Linked DNA regions of Oryzias latipes. The protein of the gene in region 2 interacts with the protein of the main gene of each other region in a pairwise test. Links are inferred from orthologs where the notes say so. Each region holds a gene or a part of one and is shown on either strand. Other genes may lie near its edges. The genes, in order: mkln1, ranbp9 and delta-type opioid receptor.

What was found.
Region 1: the proteins of ranbp9 (region 2) and mkln1 interact in a two-hybrid assay, tested with the Homo sapiens proteins (2 studies listed by BioGRID). The link is inferred for Oryzias latipes from reciprocal best matches to the Homo sapiens genes RANBP9 and MKLN1.
Region 3: the proteins of ranbp9 (region 2) and delta-type opioid receptor interact in binary tests that used the Homo sapiens proteins (3 or more experiments, as listed by UniProt). The link is inferred for Oryzias latipes from reciprocal best matches to the Homo sapiens genes RANBP9 and OPRM1.

What each region holds. Positions count from the first base shown.
Region 1 is NC_019881.2:8,984,053-8,990,612, reverse strand, and holds the start of mkln1 (muskelin), read left to right. Parts: upstream 1-2,657; 5' UTR 2,658-2,708; coding exon 2,709-2,788; exon of another isoform or gene 2,789-3,862; intron 3,863-5,938; coding exon 5,939-6,008; intron 6,009-6,560. UniProt on the Homo sapiens protein: Component of the CTLH E3 ubiquitin-protein ligase complex that selectively accepts ubiquitin from UBE2H and mediates ubiquitination and subsequent proteasomal degradation of the transcription factor HBP1.
Region 2 is NC_019875.2:8,733,130-8,739,078, forward strand, and holds part of ranbp9 (ran-binding protein 9), read right to left. Parts: intron 4,274-5,949; coding exon 4,161-4,273; intron 3,969-4,160; coding exon 3,860-3,968; intron 3,073-3,859; coding exon 2,918-3,072; coding exon of another isoform or gene 2,846-2,917; coding exon 2,692-2,845; intron 2,622-2,691; coding exon 2,500-2,621; intron 2,322-2,499; coding exon 2,170-2,321; intron 1,754-2,169; coding exon 1,642-1,753; intron 1-1,641. UniProt on the Homo sapiens protein: May act as scaffolding protein, and as adapter protein to couple membrane receptors to intracellular signaling pathways. Acts as a mediator of cell spreading and actin cytoskeleton rearrangement.
Region 3 is NC_019873.2:17,201,726-17,206,895, reverse strand, and holds part of delta-type opioid receptor, read right to left. Parts: intron 4,121-5,170; coding exon 3,945-4,120; intron 2,531-3,944; coding exon 2,352-2,530; intron 2,128-2,351; coding exon 1,929-2,127; intron 748-1,928; coding exon 742-747; 3' UTR 1-741. UniProt on the Homo sapiens protein: Receptor for endogenous opioids such as beta-endorphin and endomorphin. Receptor for natural and synthetic opioids including morphine, heroin, DAMGO, fentanyl, etorphine, buprenorphin and methadone.

The DNA.
Region 1 (6,560 bases), on a different chromosome or scaffold from region 2:
TTTCCTTGTTAACTATGACATTTGTAAATTAGTCAAATGTAAATATAAATTTTCCTTTAAAATCAGTAGATGGTCTGGCGACCTGTGCAGGATGTCTGCTGCCTCTCGTCTGATGACAGCTGGTGACTCTGGAATGGATAAAAGCTGTTTGGCAGAGAAACTTCCTGGATTTACAGTAAGTGAAAGCAATCCCAGCCAAGTGTTGGATGTGCATTTATGAGAAATGCAGTTGTTATGGTCCTCATGTCATCAGGCCAGAAAGTTCACTGGCAGATGATTCACTCAAAATAAGGTTGGAGTCATCATCCACCATCCAATCAAAGACTCAGTCATTCTGCTTTTAAACAGACAGCCTGGACTCAGGTTATCCTGCTGTCTCGTTAATAACTGTCTTGTAAACAGAGGATTTCTTTGGTACTCTGAGCTTGGTTATTTCTGTTTTCCTTCAAGGGAAACAGTTCTTCTTTATTTGTTGTAACTGCACTCAGCCAGGACACTGAATGGGGATGTGGTTGTTGGAGTTCATGATGTCATTACTCAGTCCATGCTTCAGTCTGAAGTCTTTCAAATGTTGTCGGAAGCGTGAAAAGACACTTGCTGGTTGTTCTGTTCAGAAGACAAATCAAGGCTGAATGAGAAATATGACAGAAGAATCTCTCCCGAAGTGAAGAAGAAACCTAAAAGATATCATTCCATCACCTAAAATGCTGATCATTTTTTAGCAAATGTATTGCTTTGCATATTGCTTCAAGTTAACCTGACCTCCTGTTTAAGTTTTGAAAAGCTGCTTTGATTAAACTGAGTGTAACTAAGGACTCCTCCTGGTGCTGACTGTTGTTTGTTGTTGAACGTCTCTGAACAGCCAACAACGCCGACTTCATCTGGCTGGTTACTAAACAAAAAACACAACAAAAAAAATGAAAATGGTTAACAATTGCCTGTTTTTTTATCACAAGCTCTTTCCTTTAACCCTTGTGCTATCCTAGGCACTTTACCATTGGGAGTTGGGTCATCTAGACCCTTTAAACAGTGCTCTGAACCTTTTTTCTTCAATGATTTGTGATCTTCTCTGGTGTCCATGGATTACATGAAATCTTTCCACCTTTATTCACCTTTGTCATGTCAGGGAGAACACGTCAATGTAAGGGTGGGGTCATCTAAGATAGCACAAGGGTTAAAGTAAGATCTTTAAAACCTTTTTTATAAAGCTTTTATCCAAGTAGCAGGTTCTGAAGCAGTCAACTGGACTCAGTTAATCTTTAAGATATTTCATCTGTTCTTAGTTGGCTTTCTCAGTTCTAGAACAGTGGTAAGAGCTGGTTTGTTTGGTCTTATTATTTAAAAAAACAGACTGGAAACCTGTCCTGGGTGCACCCTACCCTCACCAAAGAGAGGTCGGGATAGGCTCCGGCAGCCCTGTGACCCAGAAAGGGACAAAAACAAGTTTAGATGGTGTTATTTGTTATCTGCTGTTTGTATAGGGCTGTGGTAAATCTTTTTTCCCATTGTGTGATCAATAAAGTTCTATTCTAAATATGGAAACATTTAAATGGCTCAAACATGTAATCAAGGGTAAAATGTTGAAAGAAATGCAAAACATTTCCCAAAATGCTACTTCTACATAAGACTATGTTCTGCTTCTGAAAGATCTATGTATAATATGTTATAAAGTGTAATGCTGCATTCACACCAAATGTGATTTGCGCTAAAAATTCGCATTTGGTGCCTCTCTTTTCGACACCTGGCGATTTCGCTGCTTGATGACTGTCTTAAAATGTGTTCATAAAAGAGGCCCAGAGAGGTCCAATGAAAAAGCAAGTTCCCAAGAGTTACAGGGAAATTCCCGTACCTGAAGCACTAGAAACTGCCAAAAATGAAGCCAGGCAGATAAACAGGCTGTTCCCAACTCAACCTGCAACACACTCAGTGGAGGGGTCACAACAGCAGAGCAGACCCACCAAGGCTGGAAACTGAACAATACTGGAAAAGTATGTGGGAGAGAAAGCACACAACAGCAACGCTCAATGGCTGGTCTCAATGGCTGGATTCTCAGGTATGACAGCACCCGGGCCATGGGGTGGAATGGCTGTCGGGTATACTGATCACTGAAAGTGGGCCGATGTGATGTGGGGGCTGGTCAACAGGTTTTTGTCCGCTCTCCACATAATTGGTCACCCGGTCGATAACTTATTGTCCAGTTGTCAAACTGTCAGAAAAGCTAGGAACATCAAAAATCCTGCACAAAAACCTCTAGCTCCCATGCCTCTGATAGAGAGCCAAAATTGTGTAAGAAACCACCTGGCTGCAGAGGATGAAAAGAGATGGGTTTTTTTTAGTTTCTCATGTTCCTTCCTCCAGATATTGTCATTACTTGGTTATGCAGCATCAATTTTTTAAATTGTGATTACAATCAACATTTCAAAACTTTTATTTAAAAAAAAGTTACGTCTATACATACATACATACATACATACATACATACATACATACATACATACATACATACATACATACATACATACATACATGCATACATACATATATATATATACACATACATACATTTTTTTAATACAACATTGGTTTGGAAAATGCAACAGATTTTAGTATAATAAACATATCAAAATAAGAAAACAAGTGTACTGTCTCTTTAAGTCGCAGCTCGTTCCCTGTTAGCCTCCTGCTATCTGTTTTTTTCATGCATCAAAATGGCCGTCGCTCCTGAGAGCAGAATCCTCACTTACAGCCTTTTTAAATGGAGTTCCTACTCCTCGACATATTTACCAGAGTGAGTATTTGGCACGACCGTGCGCTGCAATATCTGTACTTGCAGGTGGCCTCAGTTTCCCTGTTGATGGTTTCGCCGACCCGCCTGGCCTGGCTCGTCTGGGGTCCGGCTCAGCTAGCTTAGCTGTCGTGGTGGTGGTGGGTTCGTTTGGTTTGAACGCGCTGGCACTCCGGCGACACTTAAACGCCCGAGCAGTTTGTCAGACAGAGTGGTATGAGGTATTAAGTAGTCCTTAAAAACCATCCTGGGAACTTTTTAGTCAACTTTGCACCTAAATTTGATGATGTTGTGTTGGTGGTCCAAAGAGACATGTGTAAATTAGAGGTTCGTCTCATAAAGTTAGCAAATGTTAACAAAACGATACATTTTTAATAGACAAACAGTATCAGTCAGCAATATGACTTTTCATGGGGTCCTATTTTGGAGGTTGTTTAAATTACCGGAGGGCAGAAATGTTAGAATTTTAAACATTTTGGTAGTTTGGTGCGGCCGTCCGCACACCGGCACCAAGCATACAAATATTTAACGCAGGCCGTCGGGACTCAGATGAAGGTAACTCCTGTTATCTAACCTCATAGCTGCTATGCTAATGAGCGGTTCCCTGAAACAAGACCTGACAAGCGAACTGCCAAACTTTTCAGCGCATTCATGCATTTAATTCTCATTAAACATTGAGATATCTAACATCAAGCAGTATAACTGATTACTGTGTCAGCTCTTGCGGCGGCGTGAAAGTCAAGCTAGCTTACCACAACAGCAGAATGTGGAAGCTAACAGTCTGTTGTGATGCTAAACATAAACATTACGAGTTTTTTTCTCCATCGTTTGTTTTATGTGAAATTCTGTTACATAAGAAGATAAAAGAGAATGCATTAAATTCCATTCGAACATACTTCAAGTTTTTGCTTTATCTATCACATGCTATTGTTAACCCCCTATCCTAAAAACATATGTGGGAAAATATTATAATTTTATAAGAAAATAAATGCTGTGCAGCCAAATTGTTTGACATGGTCGTTTTTAAAGGGCCCATATCATGCTAAATCAACGTTTTGAGTTTTTAAGTGTATTATGTTAATTCCTCACTAAACCCCAAAGCGGTATTTTGATCCATTCATTAATTTCTGAATTTTTATGGAGTGATATATTTATGCCACCACGTAGCACACAAAACTTCCTAAGCTGCAAACGAAAATCCTTTTTTTCTTTTTCCTTTAGTTTTTATTGCTTTCATTTTTTTTCTTTTTTCATTTAAAAAAATATTTTTGCATTTGCAACACAAATGTTTTCACATGCGTTGTGTCTCATCTTTTCCTATCTTTGATTTTGCTCTTATAAGTGTCAGTTTAGCTGACAAAGCTGCCATCAACCAGCCTGCTGATTGGTCTAGATCAGGGGTCTGCAACCTGAACCTCTCAAAGAGCCAATTGGATCAGTTTCCCACAGAAATGAAAGCACAGGGAGCCACAACACTGGGGCTGTTAGAAAAAAATCGTTCCACCGATATATCGCAATAGTTCATTTGGCGATACTTGTATTGATTAAAAATGCTGTCAGAATATTTATTTAATTATTCATTTTAATTTTTTATGAACGTGATGTTTCCTTTGATCTTTTTTTGTTTTCCCACAACCTTGAATAGACATTTCTGTCAAACACCCAGAGCTAAGATAAGTGAGATGATGGAAACATTTACTTTGATTCAGACTCGTTTCTATATTTGTTTTTTCTTTAAATCCAGTAAACCCAATAAAGTGTATTCATTTTATGGATGAAAATTATTTTTTATTAGGAAGCTTAGTTTGTTGCGGGTCTTTTCCCCTGCGTGCAACCCCCCCCCCCCAGCATGTTCTACACAGACAGCGCAAAATACGGTCATCATAGCAGACAGTTGACAGGATAGTAGGGGCGCCCTAATGCAAATTTAATAGATTTTACGCAGAAATGGGTGGTTCGAGTCTAGGGGGAAAAAAATGGCTTTTTTTTTCCGCCACTGACTGTCGTTTTAGAAAAACTTTCCATCCCATTACAGACTCTGGTCGGCGTTCACAGCTGCAGACACGCCAAATCCGCATGCTCACGGACCTCTCTTCCTCCTGCCCGCTTTGCACTACACGACCACGAAAATTTTAGAACATGATAGTTATTTTACAAAAACACAGAGAGCCGCAGCACAAGGATGAAAGAGCTGCATGGGGCTCCGGAGCCGCAGGTTGCTGACCCCTGGTCTAAATTCTAACAATCCAATCCCCATATTTATCCAACGTGGTCTCTGGTCTCAGTTCAGGTCTCTCTTTCCGAATTCTCACCCTAACCCCTGAATTTTAGAAGCAATTCGGACACCAAGCTCACTACTTTTTTTTACATGGATTTCACAAAGCTAAAATCTAATTGATATGAGCATTTTGCGACTATTATTTATGAGTCCCCTGTCTTAAAAACATTTAAAATAAATACATTGATGGTTTATTTAAAGAAAACATTTAAATAAATTTTTTTTGGCAAAAAGTGTTCCGATGCAATGCATTGTGGTCTATATACGCCTATCTAGTTTAAAATTTCCAGTGCACTCGATTTTGGAATTGTAGATTCGGACCGCACAACAAAATGGCGAACGCACTATATATATATATATATATATATATATATATATATATATAGTGCCTGCTACCGAAGCTCAGAAGCCGAATCAGCTCTTTTTACCCTTGATTTTGTCTCTGTGGCTGAAGAAAAATTAATTTTTAATCATTTTAAAATTCAATCATACTTTAGTTCTTTTTTTTTCTTTAGCATTGATTAATTTTTATTTAGTCAGATTTGTGAATTTATGGCTGAGGGTTAGGAAGGGTTAGTGAAACTGCTCCCAAAAACTGCTGACATTACGCTATATCAACAGGCCTGTGTGTAATGTGGGAATTCTTCGGAGCAAAATATTGGTAAAAAGTGTGATTTTCTTTAAGATCTGTATGAAAAATATAAAAAATTTGGGTTTGTGAAGTTCCAAATATTTTCCGTCAGTGATCTTCGGCCTGGTCAGTTTAACGTTCCAAATGCACCTGCTGTTCTATTCTGAAGCCATCTTTTTCTGATGGTTTATCTGCGTCTTTTACTTTCTGGAAGTTTCCTGACCTAGCTTTGCTTATTCTCTAGGAATATTTTGGTGGATAAACCGAACGATCAGTCTTCCAGGTGGTCTTCTGAGAGCAACTACCCTCCACAGGTAGGCTTGTCCGCTGAATTAATCAGATAGTGAAGCTGGTTATCTGTGAACTCTCAAGAAAAAAAGTCAACCTCAAAAAATCTGTAAATGTAGATAATTCTAATCATTTAAACTCCTTGTATTATATGAAGTGATTTTATGCGTGTAAACCTGTGTTTAAGATTTGTTTCTGAGTGCAGAGAGTTCAGGTAGCTGGCTTCACAACGTCGCCACATTCCTAACGGTTTGAGAGGAGACTGTTGTCACAGGTTATTCTTTTTGTTTGTTTGTTTTTACACATCTTCATGTAGGAATGTAAACCAAAGCAGAAACAAATGAGGCATATACCAAGCAACAAATGAATCCTTTTGAAGCAGCAACTTTTCACTTGTGCCTGTTTTTCTCCCAATAGTGTTCAGCTCCTCCAGTTGAAATGAAAAACCATGACAGTGTTCTGTTTTTCTGTCTGCACAACACAACACTTTGCTTTTGGTATTGTTGCTTAACAAGTTGTAGTTTTTGAAGGTCTAGCAAAATGAAACATAGGAAGCCCCCCAGGTGCCAGTGGTTGAA
Region 2 (5,949 bases):
AGTCGCTCCTTCACAATAGGATAGTATTGTAGACTCCAAAGAAGTTCAGACTCTTGGAGAAACAAAAGCAGAAAACCTCCAGAGTTTGGTGAAACGCTTCTGGACATTTTTTTCACCGAAAACCTGGGATCATCCTGAAAAAACAACTCCTTGATCGGGAAGATCCTCAAAGAGCTTTCAAACCTGACGGGGCGGAGCTTCTGCTTCCACGCAGTTCCCCACTTTTCAGCAGTAAACACTGTTTTGGGAGCTTTGATCATCATCAAGAATTCTTTAACAAAAACTACATTTGATTTTACTTGAGAGAAGAAAAAAAAGGAAGACGCCAATCAGGAAATGTGGCCTCTATTAGCGGTCTGGGCCGCTAATATTTATCTCCACAGAATTCTCCATCCTTCAGCTGATCACCAGGTATTTTCCAACAACAGGTTGGTGAAAAATACAAGGACATTTTACAGATTTGGTCACCGTTTTTGTCAAACTGTTAATGTTAGTTGAGAGGGGCTGTAAGCTAGCGGAGGAGCATGTAAACAACGTGATCATGGAAAATGAGGGCAGGATTACTCAACAGCAGTGCTTCTCAAATAGTGGGGCGGGGGCCTGATGCGATACAAGGGGGGGCACGCAGTAGTAGCGGTTTTAGCCACAGGTAATACGGGCAATACGGGGGTCGTGGTGACAGCGGCTCAGAACTTGGAAAAAATTTGCGCCACTGTTGGTTTCCTATTATCTGTTATATGACAGAGTTTATAACAGCCTGAAACTGTGAACTGCCGTCCCTCCAGCTGCTCCTGTCTTTGAGAAGGAAGGGGGAGGGGTAGTGGGCTCAGGCTGCAGGTGGAACGCGGAGAGCTGCCTGGATTGCGCAGCACCAGGATCATCACGGGCCTTTAGATTACTCAGCTCATTCTAATGTCATTCTTTATGAACTATTGTTGACATTTTGATGACATGTCTTTGTTTTCCATCAATGTATTCTTTGTCTGCCTGTCGTTTAGTTGGTGTCAGTATTTGACCGAAAGACAGCAGGTAATGCAAGAAAACAGCTGATCATAAATAAACATGGATGGTGGGGGTTGGGGGCGCGTGAAAATTTGTCTTTTTCCTAAGGGGGGGGGGGTGCAAAAAATAATTGAGAAGCAGTGCTGTACGGCAAAAGTCGCGTCCACAACTGTGAGCTAAATTTCTGATAAAATGCTGCCGCTCTGCAGAAACTATGTTCTAGGAAACTAAACAGGTTTTTTGATTTGAGCTAAAAACGGCATAATCATTATTTAAAAACAACACAGGAAACGCTTTGAAAATACATTAAAGATGAGTGGAGTGAGACTTTAAAATCATCGGGGGAAAAAGGGAAAAATTTCTATTGAAAGTCCTTTCAATAGAAATTGAAAGTCCTTCCACAGCAGGATCTCTGTTACAAATCTGTGATTTCAGCTCCGAATCAAAATGAAAGTGTTTCATTCAGTGAGATGATGAATGAAGTGCAGCCATCAGCTGACCGTCAGTCAGTCCATTCCCCTCCTGATGAGTCACTGCAGATCTGACTCTCACACCCAGGCTGCAGAGTCACTGCAGAACAAAGCCCGACCAGCATCGTGTTGGACTTCCTTCCGCCTGCCAAAGCCGCAGCTGACCCACCTAATATTGCACTGTTGAGAGTGGAGCAGACCGGCTCCCTCTGAATGGCGTCCAGCTGGTAGCCGACCGGGCTGCTCCAGGGGTCCGAGTAGGCCAGCAGGCTGAACGCGTCCTTCAGCGGGAGACAAGGAACCATCAGACATGACCGTTTCTGTCCTCTGCAGCTGCAGGACGTTTCTCTTTTGTCCCGTGACATTTTCATCTTTTTTGTCAGGAAAACAGTGTCAAAGCTTCTGAGCCACATGCAGACTGATGTCATGGAATATGAGCCGTGTGGGTAATCTCTAGAGATTAGAGCTGATCTCATTCAGTGCAGCAAGATTTCTAAGGTGGATTTTTATGAATCCACAGCGGAGGAAAAAACAAACATGGAGTTTTGGAATTTGATAAGTAAAAATATTGTTTTCATTTACACTAAACTTTATTTTAAAGTTTGCACATGAACGACAAAAGTCTCAGAACCAAAACTTTAGGTCAATATTAGGTTCTGAAAATGAGACGTTTGTCAGGGCCGAACTCTGACTTCACCTTCAGCATCTTCTTGTTGGCAGAGTTCTTGCCACACTCGCGGCGGAGGTGTTCACTCATGCTCTGGAGCTCCCTGCCGAAATGGATCATCCTCTCGATGGCGGCCTGGCTCCCCCCGCACAGCTGCCTCTTGACCTGAGCGGACTCCACCTCTGAGGTGGGGAGGAAACAGTCAGTGATCTGATGACACTCAAACTTAACGGCAGGAGAAAAATCCCTGGACTTTGCTGTGTGAAAGCGCGTCCATCACGGGAAAAGCATTGCAGGCCGTTTCAAAAGCTGCTGAAGGCAAAGCAAGCGCCACGCAGGAGGCTCCGCCTCTGCACCCACCCATGTCTGCGTCGCAGTCCTCCGGCTCCGTGGCGTGCTTGGACGTGCCATTGAGGAAACCATTAGAGGATAGTTCTGTCACTCCGTTGGTGAAGTGGTCGACCTCCATGTCCACGTCGTTGCTGTAAAGTGGGGGGGATGCAGGGTCAGCAGGTGCAGACATCTAACCTCAGTCCTAAACTAAGACTGTACCTTGTGATGGGCAGCTGGCTGCGGCTCCCATTCAGACTAACGTCGGTGACTGGGAGGGTGGAGCCAGAGCCAGGGGGGCAGGGCTTGTGACTGTGAGGGGAGGAGCTGTGGCTCTTACTTGATGCCACGCCATTACAGCAGTTGCTGTCGACCCCTGCAAACAAACCAGCAGCAGGGATCAGAGCGGCTGCAGGGTGGGGGCTCATGGCCAAGCGCGGGACTGTACCGGTGAGGTAGGACTGCGAGCTGCCGGCTTTGTGGCCCGGGCTGCTGAAGGAGCGCGGCGAGCCAGGGTAACTGTCCTGAGACTTGGGGCTGCGGCCCCCCAGACACCTCACCTCGCTGTCCGTCCCGTTCACCATCTCGATGAACTGTCTCACCCTGAAAATGAGGGACACAGAGCTCAACCAAAGAAGTAGGAATTAATAATCGCCAAAAATCATCGTTAAAAGACACTCCCACCTGAGTGAAACTCAGGATTTATCTCCTACGATAAACTTTTACCCCTTAAACTAACCTCCTTCAATACCAAACATCTGCCCCCCACACACATGGAAATATAACAGTATTTTTCATAGATCCTAGACTATTGTTTTTTTCCTGGCCTATACTCCATCCATCCATTTTCTGAACCCACCATATCCCAGAATCACTGAACACACAGAGCATAAGCTGGTGTGTCCGGCGTCCACACATACACGAGCACATGCAAACTCCACACAGAAAGGAACCCTTTGATTCAAACCAGGGCCTTCTCACTATGAGGCAAGAGTGCTAACCACTACTCCAACACGACTCGCATATTGACTTTCATATTGTGATTTTACAATCCTTGTATGCTCCTCACACCAAATAGATTATTAGGCAGTTTTAAGATTCTGTGTTTGTGTGCATGTTAGCGCTCTCGTCCCAGCTGGGAGCATTTGTGTGGAGTTTGCTTGTCCTCCTGCATGTGTGGGTTTTCTTCGGCCACTCTGGCTTCCTCTCACAGTCTAAAAACATGCTTCTCTAAACTCCCTCTAGGCGTGCATGCGAGTGTGTGGCTCTGCATCAGAATGGGTGTGCCCCGCCTTGGCCCAGCAGTAGCAGCTTTCCTACGACCCTGAAGGGGATCCAGCGGGTTCTGAAGATTTATGGATGAGGTGTGTTTGTGTGTGTGTGTTCCTACTTGAGCATAAAGAGGAGGTCCGGGTTCCGTTCCAGGAGGTTGGGGTACAGCTGCTGGGTGGTCTCGATGGCTTCACCCATTCTACCCGACAAAACCAACTTCTGGATCTCTGCAGCCAAAAACACGTGAATGTCAGTGCTGCTAAACGTCATATACATTTAACCCCTATACTTTTAACATTTATATGGGGGGGTTAAGGGCGTGCTGGAGGGAAGAAGACTTTTAGGCAGAGCTGTGCTTTAATTTGACCAGCAAGTCTCTGGATACTGCAGTTTTACTTTGCGGCGTTTCGCAGACTCACTCTGTCTGTTTTTGATGGAGGCCAGCTCCTCCTGCACGGCCTGGTCCGTGGACTTTGCGAAGGCTTCGGCTGTGGCGCAGTAGCTGTGGTGCACCAGGTAGGACGCCACCATCCTGACGAGACAAGAAAGGACTGGAACTCAGTGAGGTCCATGAGGCGCAGCAGAAATGAGGTCACAGCAAAGCTAACAGGACAAAGTTGCCCCACCATCGGCAGGATATCATGCGTTTTATATATTTAAAAAAATCTGTAAAGATTAATGAATAACTCAAAAGGAAAAACAATCTGGATTGGTTTAAAAGAGAAAAAAAGGACCTTTGGACCGGCTCTATGTGGATAATCGCACATGCGGCCCCGTCTCACCCCACCCTCACCCTCAATCTGTACCAAACAGATTAAATCCATTCACAGCAAGTAATCACAGCAACAGGCTGCAAATCCCATCCTGGAGAAAGTCCTGCCGGTTTTACTGCTGCGTGGCAGCTCTGGTCCATCTGGACTCCGTCAGCAGCAGCATCCTGCAAACGGACACTTCCTGTTCGGATTTCTTCATCAAATGAAAAAATTTTTTTTTCGATAAATAGAAGAGAAAAATGTGAGAATGCGTCTGCCCTCTTCTTGAAGTTTTTTGTTTCATTGTCACAAGGATTTTTTTAAATTTCTCCAAACTCAGTAAACTCAAGTTAATCCAAAATGCACATTTTATAAATACATTAAAAAAAAGGTATCAAGGCCTCTAGTGAAAAGCAAGAACATGGATAACTTCTGTAAGAAACAGTTGGAAAGTAAAAAAAGTTCTAATGTTTAGGCTGCAGTTACTTTATTCACAGGTAAGGTTTTTTTGTTTTTTAATTAAAAACAACCTAAACATGCTTTAGGTTATGCACGTGTGATATGTATGAAAATCTTGTTCAACATTGGAGCTTCTTTCAGCTCTCGATGGAATTCCAGCTGATTTTGAAGTGGAGAAAAGCAGCTTTGCTCTGGTATGAAACACTTTACAGTTGTGAAGTGTTTATGTTAATCAGCTGATTCTGTCGCACATAAAGGCGCTGTTACTAATGTAAAGGGCTGCATAAGGACGCAGAGCCGATTTGTAAAGCTGCTTTTCTCGTTGATCGTGGAAACGGTTTGAGAGTTACGGTACGTTAAGGAGCGAGTGATTTAGGGATGCCACAATTTTCGGTTTAAGATGCTTATTTGCAAATAAAAAAATAAAGAATTTTCTGAATTTCTGTTGTTGTTTTGTAATACCCAAACCGAAACAAATCCATAACCCAAAAACCGAGGTTTAAAGTGTTGCATCCCGAGTGTAATATGTACCGTAATTTCCGGACTACAAGCTGCTACTTTTTTCCTGCGCTTACAGCCCTGCGGCTTATTCAGTGACGCGGCTAATTTATGGATTTAATTGGCGGCCGCCATGTACGTACTTTCGAACTCAGTGAATAGTTTGAATTCTCTATCTAACACCAAGCACGAGGCATTTTTGTTCAACACACCTCTTAGCAGCCAAACAGCATGGAGTTGACTTCAGGTCTTAGACACTTCAGTCATGGTTCAACAAAACAAAACACGCATGCCCGGCCGCATCCCAGAATCCTTTGGGGCCATTAGACCCAACGTGCACCAGATCGCCGCTACAATATGATGAAGCTTTCAAGTTAAAAGCAATCGTTAAAAGCAGCGTAAAAAAGTCCACCGTCACCAACGGGTTTGGAAAAGCCGGTTTGCTGCGTGACGGAGAGAACAGCGCATGGAGTGAATTTACACTCCATTTACGGTTTCT
Region 3 (5,170 bases), on a different chromosome or scaffold from region 2:
GCTGTACAAACAGCCCAGAGGGCTTTCCTTGTAGGTTTGGTACAAAGATCCACAAAGACAGTTCCTGCTTTGTACATTCAGAGATTTGTGATGAACAGAAAATATACAGCTTTTTTTTTTCCTTTCTGGTGAAATCCTGATAAGTTGATGCACAGCAACACACACCACAGTCCAGTAGTGGCTGAGGCCCGCGTGGTGCTGAACCCCTCAATGGAGGGTGTGAAACAACAAGTCCTGCTTCTGCTACACACAAAAAGCCATTTTTTTCCCTCCTGTTTAGTCAAATCCTTGCAAAATCCCACAAATCTCTTTTTTCACATGTAAATCCACCTCAAGTAGACATTTGGGGGAAGCATGACAGAAAGGCATGACGGCGTGTTCGAAAATTGATTTCTGTAGTTGACATTGACGAGTACACGTCACCATATTGGCTTATGAAAGTGGATTTACAGATCTGTCAGTTGAACACTTTTTTTTTTGAATCAATGTCAACAGAGTACTGTGCACATTTCTTCAGAGTGTAACAGTGAAGGGGCGGCGGGCTCTTCAGTCCTTTTAGAAGTTTTTGAGTAAATGCTGTGAGCTGCAAATGCCTCACAAAGGTGCTCTGGATCATCTAATGGGCATGTCTGGCTCGAGGGATTAAAACCCAGTGGTGACTTGTGTGACTTCTGAGTTGAGATCGTCGTTGGCAATGCTGCCACAACAGCGAGAGTCCAGCGACGACCCCTCCAAGGCTAGTCATACCTGCAGAGAACGCAGACAAAGCAGCGCCTCATCAGGATGCACACACTGCTGCACTTGTCTGAGGACGTTCAACAGATGTGACATCACTCTGATAAAATGCCAATGACAGACCAATTAGTTATTTACAAACCCCAAATCTTAAAAAACAGGATTTTTTTGGGTGTATTTATTATGACAGTGATGTATTTGTATTCTGTTTTTTGTAGCAAAAATGTCACATGTTGAAATCTTGCAGTGTTTTCAATATTTATGAACTTTCAGTTTTTCGTTTGTATTTGTCTTTAGCTTAAATTCTTGCCACATTTAGGCAGAATTCTGCTATTTTTGTTCCTAAAAACCATATTTGCTTGGATGAAGAAGCCCTAACACTGTTATTGTTTAAGTATTAGTTTTTTTTCTTTTTTGGGTGACTATACTTTTTTTTTTTTTAAAGATCTATCACCCAAAAAATGTATAATGCTCCAGAAAAAAGGTGAATATTTATGCTTCTATTTTTGTATTTGATGTTTTTTTTATTACATAGCATAACTAATATAACAGTGTTCATGCATTTTGGCTGTTTTTTTCATTAAATACAATAACTTGCAAATGTTTTGCAAGTCTTTTTTACAAAAAACATTTCCAAGCAGAAACAGCCAGCTGTGAAAAACTTTATACTTTCCATCTATTTTTTTTAAAATATAGTATTTTATACCATGTTTAATCTGAAGCTTTTAATGTTCAATTGAAATTGTTTTTTGTTAATTGTTATAAAGAGTGAGATTTATTTCATGGTATAATCACAAAAATAGGATAACATGAATCTTAATTTAAAAAATATAGCAGGTAAACTGAAATATAAGATGACTTGTAAAAAAAATCACTGAAAATAAAATGGCTTTGCATAATAATGATTATTATAAATTATTATAATTATTAATTATGATGATTTCTAATTTGCATATAAATCTAGTTTCTCATTTTGTTATATAGGATTTAAATGCCCAAGTGTTGCACAATTAATACTATAATTAATCATTATAATTTCTTGTATTTAGGAAAAGTTTATGTTGTTACCATAAATGTTATAAAGAAAGTTAATTCATACTAAGAAGGAAAAGCGGATTTCAGTGGCAAATCAGTTTCACGTTTTCAACATCCTTTTGATCAGATCTGGTTCAAGATTACTCATATGTGCTTACACAGACGCTGGCTACCTGTTGGTTGGACCTCTCCCCTGTGTTTGCACTGTTGTGTTCACGCTTCGGGACCTTGCGGCTGGTGGCTCCAGTTCTGGAGGAGTTTTGAATCTCCAGTACGGAAGGACTCGGGGTGCAAAACTCACGGAAACAGCGCTTGAAGTTCTCGTCCAGGTAACCGTAAAGAACCGGGTTAAGGCTACTGCATTGGGCAAAAATAGGGTCATGGGTTAACAATGCTAGCTGAACAAAAACTCAAAATGTAACACTATTTAACAAAATCCTTTTCTTTTTTGCAAGTGGTGAGATAAAAAAAATCCTTTTAGTAAACGACAATGAACAGTTTCTCTCATTAAATCTTGTTTAAATGCCCTCTCTATACATGCTCTCTATAAATGCCCACACAGCTGCCAAATGGATTTTTACCTGTTTGTGTAGCCCAAGGCGATGCAAAAATGCCAGGTGATGGTTTGAAGTGTGGAGCTGGGAATGTTGATCAGTGCAGTGATGATGACAAACACATGGATGGGGGTCCAGCAGACGATGAAGACGGCCACCACCACCAGTACCATGCGAGTGATACGACGGAGGTTCTTGTCTTTCTCCTGCGATTCACAACAACAGCTAAGTACCGGCAGAGAGGCCCTTTCAGAACACACAAAAAGTACAAAACCGATCAAGTGTAATGCTTGCGATTCACTGAAAAATGTAATAGAAATCCAGCATTTCTAAAAGCAAGGCCGTCCTTTTTCAAATGCACAAAAGTGCTGAAAAGTAATTTACAGAGATAAAAAAACGTGTTTAAAAAAATATAATGTAATTAAAAGCAGTGCAATAAATGAGATAGTGACACTGAACATATATTTCAAATCAAGCAAGAGCAAAGTTTTAGGTTTAAAAAAAATGTAAAAATCATTCACCTCATTTTTTTGTTGTATCCAATTGAGTATATCTACAAAGTCCCAATTCACAACTGAGGCCACAAAAAAGATGGATCTTTATTGAATGTGATTAATTATAATTCAATTCAGTCCAGATAATTATTTTAATTTTATGCTAATGGCATGAGTGACCAACAGATTACATTGAAGACCCACTACAGTAAAAATGTTGTCTTAGTGTTTTTAAAACACTCTTCTAACCTTTTTTTATGATGACATACAGCATATAAAAAAAGATAATTTCGAAATGTAATCTTAAAATTGTATTTCCGAGTATATCTTTTTTTATTTTTCCAAATCATTGTGAATTAGGAGCAGACAAAAAAATGCTGTTTGAAAAAAGACTGTAGCTGTGACATAAAAGCTACAGTTGGCAGGCCACAAGTTTCCTGCTCCGCTCCATTCTGATGCATCCACTTCCAGAAAAATAGATCTTTTCTTCCACATCTAAGCTGGAATCTGGAGCAAAACTGTACGGCTGGATTGTTCCAATATTGCTCACCACTTTTGTTGCAGCTGTATTGTTAAGTTGGTGTTGAAAGACGCAGTAAGCTAGCAGGAGAGAATGTAATCAGATGAATGATTAGAAATCAAGGCAGGCTTAACCCATGCCAACAGTCCCGCCCACAACTCAGAGGCGAATTTAGGCAAGTTTCGCTCTGCAGAAACTATGTCCTAGAAAATGACAGTTTTTTTTGATTTTGCCAAAAAACAGCATAATCATAACTAAAAAGACCACTGGGAACACAAAAGATGATTGAATGGGTCTTTAAGGGGTTTTCGATTTGCATACTGAGCTCGTAAAAGGCAACAGTGTTTTAAAAAAACTGGATAAAAGGCAACCAAAATGTAAACACTGTAAGTAGATCATATATGAAAATATTGCATTTCACACAAAAGGTGAGCAAATATTTGTTTTTGTAACCACAGCTTCATTTTTTCCTCATTTTTTTGTCTTGACATCAATGAATGAAACCATTTCCTATCATGCAGTGCTCTGCTATGATTTGTAAATAGTCATCAGTGATTTGTTTCAGTTTTTGTGACTGTTTGGCTAAGTTGATGAAAAGTGTCGCACCTGTGAGCCTGACAGCATTCGAACGCTCTTCAGGCGCAGGATCATGAGTCCGTAGCAGATGGTGATGATGAGGACGGGCATGATGAAGGCAAAGATGAACACACAGATCTTCAGCAGAGTGTCCCAGTACCAGGAGGGGTGGGGGAAAATCAGCTTGCAGTCCACAATCTTGGGGTCTGTGGGGACAAACATACTTGGCAAAACAGCTAAGGGGGGGCCGTGAAGGACAAAACTCATTTCACGTCGCACACGTGTGTTTGACACAAACGCTAATGTTGTTTTTGAAAAATGCAGACATCCATCTTCTTTTGAAACATGTTTAATCCCTTTTAGGATAATGGGGTTGCTGGAGCCTATCCTAACTACTGTTGGCCAAAGGCTTTGTAGTTTCTGCACAGGCATCCAGTCTGTTGCACAAACATGCAAAACATGTTTAATATATTTGTATGTGGTGAACTAGGACATCAAAGCAGCTCAGCTGCAAAGCTTTTTCTAGATTTAAAGCCTGAAGACGAGCAAAATAAATATTGGTGGGTCTATAAAGTGAGTTTGCTTAAAATTCTTAATAGGAAAAGGCAGTAAAAAAATGCAAAGCACTCAGCGAAACTGATGCGGAAATATATTTCTGCTTGATTTACAACTCTGTCTGTGCTGGGTTTACAGTTTTCTATTTCTAGTGGAATTTCTCCATGGTTCTTGTTTTTGAGTTAAAGTGTTGTAAGTGCTTTTTTATTCATACATTTATTTCTCTTAGAGTTAAATTTATTGAAAAGAAAACTTGTAAAGGGACCAGACTAGAAGATTGTTTTACTAATAAAGTTTTCTAGTTTTTCTAATAAAAGTCTACAACTGTGGGTGGCAGAAAGCAGTCATGCATTTTCCCTGAGTGTTAGAAAATCTGCTCTGTATGAGCTGGAAGAGCTTTTTTTTACGGGGCTGTTAAAAGACAACGAGATTTTGAAAATGTTTCTCGACTCCTCTGTTCTCGCTCTCAATTTCTGGAGATTCTTGCTTTAGGGCTGCAGCCATCACACCATGCACCGTCTGCACATCTGAATGCCTTTCTACTCTGATCAAGGCTGTAAAGCTTCATCCACACCAATAAATTCATCATCTGCCAATAAACGTAATTTTCTCAATTTTTGTTTTGGCCTCTTTTGGTTCTGCATGTCTTCATTACTGTTGCTGTTAATGAGCTGCTTAGAAGAGTCTGTAAGCAGAGATTT